2 linked regions of the Kluyveromyces lactis genome follow. The protein of the gene in region 2 purifies or fractionates together with the protein of the main gene of each other region. This does not show direct contact. Links are inferred from orthologs where the notes say so. Each region holds a gene or a part of one and is shown on either strand. Other genes may lie near its edges.

Evidence for each region. The genes of interacting proteins can lie anywhere in the genome.
Region 1: the proteins of GIS4 (region 2) and SNF1 purify together in Saccharomyces cerevisiae (affinity purification with mass spectrometry; 3 studies listed by BioGRID, with this or other methods). This does not show direct contact. The link is inferred for Kluyveromyces lactis from reciprocal best matches to the Saccharomyces cerevisiae genes GIS4 and SNF1.

Annotation. Positions count from the first base shown.
Region 1 is NC_006037.1:338,265-341,477, reverse strand, and holds SNF1 (AMP-activated serine/threonine-protein kinase catalytic subunit SNF1), read left to right. Parts: upstream 1-862; coding exon 863-2,671; downstream 2,672-3,213. UniProt on the Saccharomyces cerevisiae protein: Serine/threonine protein kinase essential for release from glucose repression.
Region 2 is NC_006037.1:156,645-159,967, reverse strand, and holds GIS4 (Gis4p), read left to right. Parts: upstream 1-1,165; coding exon 1,166-2,752; downstream 2,753-3,323. Other genes in the region: ARO80 (Aro80p), read left to right, coding at 1-279.

The DNA.
Region 1 (3,213 bases), about 180 kb from region 2:
GACGTCGAAAGGAGCTTCTCAATCAGTAAGCGTGTTTTAGATGATAGATTTTCTCTTGCTAGTTCCAATTTAAAAAGCACAATGATAGTAAGGAATCGCTTGATGTGTTTCAATTTGGGCTCAAAGATGCCTGTGACTGAACATATTGCAACGGACTCTTGGACGGATGACGAGGACGATATGGAGCATTCAAATTTTAGCCAACAATCATTCTACGATCCTGCCGCAGTCATCGATATTTACTCCAGTGACAGTAGTGATTGAAACTAATACATAGATAGCAGAATTTTGGAATCACCAGTTTATAATGAGGAAAATACGATATTAACGTTATTCCTAATTATAAAAGAGTAATTGGGGAAGATTAAAGATGTAATATATACATCTTGGTTCGTATATAATAGCCACTTATCGAGTGGTGATGTACTTTAATGTAGTGTCATAGCATATTGACGTAGTGAAGAATGGATTCGTGAATTGTCTGAATCCTCTCGTAAAACGTGACAGGATTGGTGACTGAAAATGGTCAATTCGCCGGACTCGTCCCAGTACGGTCTCCTACATAAGGTATCAGTCATCATCAACGATTTCTACGCCGTTTACATTTTGATGATAAAATTGAAAACTTGTCATATACGGAACATCAACAATAAAAGAAGGATCAATGCGTAATTGTAGGGCGGATAGAATTGGGTTTTGTGAGACTCCAGAAACGTCACACTAGTATAAGAATTGCAAGTTTTCTAACAAGTTAGTCAACTTCTCAATTAGAAGCAACTATTCTCAGAGTAAACAAGATATCCCTCTGTTGAACGCAAACTCTTAGTGAAGCATTTACGAGTACATACTCATCAGAGAAGATATGTCGCACGACCCAAATCAACAACAGCCGCATGGTGGCTCAGGTCAAGGCCATCACCAACGCCAGCTGACTAACCACGCACAAGGCCAACATATCGGTAAGTATCAAATCATCAAGACCTTGGGTGAAGGATCATTTGGTAAAGTGAAACTGGCGTACCATATCTCTACGGGACAAAAAGTGGCATTAAAAATCATCAATAAGAAGGTTCTAGCCAAGAGTGATATGCAAGGTAGAATCGAGAGAGAGATTTCGTACTTACGTTTGTTGAGACATCCACACATTATCAAATTGTATGACGTGATCAAATCGAAGGACGAAATTATCATGGTGATTGAGTATGCTGGTAATGAATTATTTGATTATATTGTCCAAAGAGACAAGATGCCTGAACAAGAAGCAAGAAGATTTTTCCAACAGATTATTAGCGCAGTAGATTATTGTCACCGTCATAAAATTGTGCATAGAGATTTGAAACCAGAGAATTTACTATTAGACGAACATTTGAACGTTAAGATTGCTGATTTTGGTTTATCTAATATAATGACAGATGGTAACTTTTTGAAGACTTCATGTGGTTCTCCAAATTATGCGGCCCCAGAAGTCATCAGCGGTAAACTATATGCAGGTCCAGAGGTTGACGTTTGGTCTTCAGGGGTTATCTTATACGTCATGTTGTGTCGTAGGTTACCATTCGATGACGAAAGTATCCCAGTGTTGTTTAAGAACATTAGCAATGGTGTTTACACCATACCTAACTTCCTTTCCCAAGGTGCTGCGAGCTTAATCAAAAAGATGCTCATCGTCAATCCAGTTAATAGAATTACCGTGCATGAAATCATGCAGGATGAATGGTTCAAAGTTGATTTACCCGACTACCTAGTTCCTGCTGAAAGCACCCATCAAGAAAACTCTGAAAGCAAAACAGAAGATGGCGGCCCATCCGTGCCACTCGAACTGATCGATGATTCGTTAGTTCAAACGCTATCAAACACTATGGGTTATGACGTAGATGAGATATATGAGGCTTTAGAGTCCGATGAAGATCATCCATCTTTAAATGAAATCAGGGATGCCTATCAGTTAATTAAAGAGAACAGAAATTTAATCAACGACATCAAGGTGAACAAGCAACAATCTAATGACTTGGATACTTTCTTATCGCAATCTCCACCCACTTTCGAACAATCCTTGCATGCCCCCCCGGGCTCAAAAAATCGACACTCACACCGCCATTCAAAGAGAACACAGCAACGTACATATCAATATCATTATGGAAATGGTTCTCAGGATGGAGACAGCACGATTGCAATTTTACCTAGCTCGTTACCACAGATCCATAGAGCCAACATGGTAGCACAAGGGTCCCAGGCTGCTGCTAAGATTTCACCATTAAGCGTGAAAAAATCAAAAACAAGGTGGCATTTCGGTATACGATCAAGATCCTATCCATTAGACGTTATGGGAGAAATATACATTGCATTGAAAAACTTGGGAGCCGAATGGGCGAAACCATCAGAAGAGGACCTATGGACTATTAGAGTCCGTTGGAGATATAATATCGATATGCCTGATGACGAAATGAAGAACAAGCAGATTCCAGATTTAATGAAGATGGTAATCCAATTGTTCCAAATTGAGACAAATAACTACTTAGTGGATTTCAAATTTGATGGCTGGGAGTCCAGTAACGGTGTAGTGTATTCAAGTCGGAACGACGATGAAATGAGTACGTTCAGTGCATACCCCTTTCTACATTTAGCAACCAGGCTGATTATGGAACTTGCAGTGAATAGCCAAGGAAGTTGATTTTAAGGTTCATGAAATTAAAAAAATACTAACGGATAATATCCAACGAAGAGTGTATATAAGTTTGAATATTTGCTTAAAGTTTAAGCCTTATATACATATCATTAAATAATGACAATCACTATATTATATGAGAAATTACTCTTAGCTCACAACACTCGCCGGGAAGAAGAGGAAAACAACATACATGTTTTTGACACATGAAAAAAGAATGCATCGGCCGGGAATCGAACCCGGGGCCCAACGATGGCAACGTTGGATTTTACCACTAAACCACCGATGCTACTTTGTTGTAGTTTTCGTAAGATAGACTGAAGACAGGCCAGACGAAGGGTCATGTGAGCTAGCCAGCACACGGCAGAGTTCCAAGACGTCAGTGACTGGGCATATGGATCCTGTGGTATCCAGAAGGGAAGGCCTAGATGGATCAAAGAGGGTCACGTGACAATATTTAGTGAAATTGGAATAGGCAGAAGCTGCGCATGACGAGTGGCTCATGAGACTATCAGTTACCATGAAAAAGTCCGACGGACAACTGAGTA
Region 2 (3,323 bases):
GACTCTGCTCTTGGTGTTGCTAGCATTAACAGTGCACCTCCAGCGCCAGTACCAGAACCAGCGCCAGATACTAACCCCGCTTCTGCCATAAATACTGGGCCAAACAGTTCTGGAGGGTATCTTCCTCCTCAACTTGTCGATTGGTTTAACGATAATAATGAAATTGGTTTAGATTTCGTTGGACCATGGACGGAAATGGTAGAGAAACAATTCGTGAACAAAGTAGACGACTCTTCCTACGAAAATTGGTTTAATGATTTCTATACCCCACCAAAATAGAAAATAGTTAAGTACCGGTACGTAAACCTAAACAGTCTTCTATCGCATTTCCATATCTCAATACACAAAAGACCCATTACAAACAATCGCTAACTTCATTGCAAGAAAAAAAAACACAAAGAACTACTGCTGCTCCCCGATTAATAGTGTGATTCTTTCTGTCCCATGCTCTCGTGACACATTTTCCTTAACCTCCACTTATAAATCAATCGGCTTATAATCTCGCTCTTTTCCCAATACTACGGTACCTATGTGATGAGGTCTATTCGAGGATTTCCACACGTTTGTCCAAAAAAAAAAAAACGGCTCGGAAACAAAATGGTTAGTACTATAAAAAAAACAGCACTTTTGGATAAAAACACGAAACCATATGATTCCATCAGGAAGACGATCCTTTTGTTTAACCTGGGGTTCTAATCGCTATTCTGCGTGTGTGAATACATATATATATCCTGCAGTTAAGTTTCAGCGGGTGCTATCTGGGATATTCTTTGGGGTTACAGCTAGCTGAAAACACGTCTGACGGAAAAGAGGAAACGTGAGAGAAATAACACAGAGGTTTTGACTACAAGTGAGGTCCCTGCGTTACCAATCTATTTAATTAATTTATTTGATATTTGGTTTGCATCAATCCTAGGCGCAAGAGCAAAGTATACTCTGGAGCGAAGCATTATCTAGGGCTACAATACAGGCTTTTTTTTTGGATTCATGTACTGACAACATCCACACACACCCTGCATTATTTTTGAGAAGACTATATTCTTAATTATAACACATCATAATACCATACCCCCTCTTTATTTTGGCACTTGTGTTGTTAAAGGAATTTGTGAAAAGTGAGATCAATAAATATATACCGCTTACAGCAGAAATAGAAGAAAGGAGGATGCCTACCAGTGTTCAGGTGAAAGATTACTATGAAAATGATTACAATGGGTTATGGTCATGGTATTTGAGCAATTTACGAAACGGAGAGTTTGAAGAATTGACTGGTAACGAGTTGAAGCATGGACTTTTGAAACGGTTTCTCAGAGATCAGTTTCAAGCGACCGGACCATTAAACAAAAAATTACTCTTGGTTTCAATTCCGGATGAGATTCACCAGGATATTAAAGTATTAGAAGAGTTTTTAAGCGAATATTTCCATTTGAAAGATGACCACACTAATATTGTCATTGATAAATTAACTCGTGGGACTGTTTACAAACATGAAAACCATTATCTAATACAGGACAAATTGACCAATTTCAATGATGAATGGTTCTTAGAGATGAAGAAAGATGTAAGCATTAGCGGGAACAGCAGCAAGGATGCTACCGATTCGGCGGAAAACTGCGGGCAGGAAATGGAGGATGATAGTCCCCGTCGAGATAGTGATTCTAGCGACAGCTATAGTATATTGACGGGTGATACGTTTGACACTGAATCTCATTCCATTGTTCTCAATTTCAAGCATCCCGAGGTCATGGTAAAACCAATCACTAAGACCACTCAACGGATTGTAAGGATCAGTCCAGGAAATAATATTGGCTCACCTGCAGAGTCTCAGGTATCAATAGTGACACATGGCGATGATCTGGAATCTTACCGTGGAGAAGCTTTGGTCCAAACTGTGACAAGGGCAATAGACGAAGATGAAGAAGATGAAGATGATGATGATCATCATCATGACGTCGAATCCGCTGACGATATGAAAAGCAAAGATATCTCGATTCCACCTAGCATTTCTATATCTGACAATTTCGGCACATTTAGGTTAGTGTTACAGTCAATTCTTATAACCAACAAGGAAACAGAACAAATCTTTACTGGCATAAGACAAAGCGAAAACGATAGAAGTAATGCTGACATAAATGATGATTGGCTCTTATACGATACGGATTTTAATTTAGGCAATTTACAAATGTTGTCGTTATACGATATTTTGGACTTCAGTAAATTTTTACCCAAAATTCTGTTTTACTCTATGATCCACGTTAAGGATTCTGTCGACGATAACACGGAGCTATCTTTACAACATCTGATTACAGTCAATAATACTCTGACTAATGGAAATATGTATAGTCCACATGAAGTTGATGATTCAATGAGTGAATTAAGTTCTGATAACTCGATTGAATGTTACACAGGAAATTCAAATGACTCCATTGCGGATGAACCAGTCATCGGACTGTACTCGCCAGCAACTGCGGCTACAGCAGGTCATAGGTCCATCAGAACGGTGGAAAGTATTGGTGCGTGGGCCTTAAATAGGTCCAATACCAAAAAAAGTATGGAAACTGTGCAAAACACGGTATCAAGGGACTCCAGAGGGAATTTCATGAACAGAATCAAGTCTCAGCCAATGCCTGTGTTATTGCAGACACTGAATAGTAATATAGATGAGGAGGCAATAAAGATCAAGAAAAATCTTGCCAAAGTTAGAGCAAGACAGCGGAAAAAGTCCACTTCCCACAATTGTAGTATAATGTAAGTAGTTCTGTGTTCATTAGAAAATAAATGACATTATGATTATTGAGTCTTGTTTATTGGGCTACTTAATTACAATGCTGCCTTTACTCTTGATAAATAACAGACCAATCAGACTATAATTAATCTGATAAAGATAATTTATTGAATTTCGCAACAATTCAGATGGACGGTGTGTTATTATAAGTTGATTAATTAGATTACGTGGGAGGATGGATTTATACAAGAAAAGGTAGTGTAAAAAAATTTGAAAGTGAAAATTGGTTGAAAAACATTATAGTAAAAGGAAAAAACCAAAGTAGAATAAGCGTTTTATTGATCGATGATAAAAGGGAGACAAAAGAAAAAAGTTCGAACATGCTCAATATAAGAGGGATAATTCTGAAAGTTTTATTAAGTCTTTTAAGACTGAAAATTTGGTTATTTTGTCTTTGTATTCGTGATCCATGTAATTTAAGTTTCTTCAGGAATGAGGAGTTCGTAATTATCCATTCGAAAAAGATATGTCCTCTACTTCAAAAAGAAAGACATCGGAAACTCGTTAAAAGAATTGAAACCGTTAATTTGAACGTAAC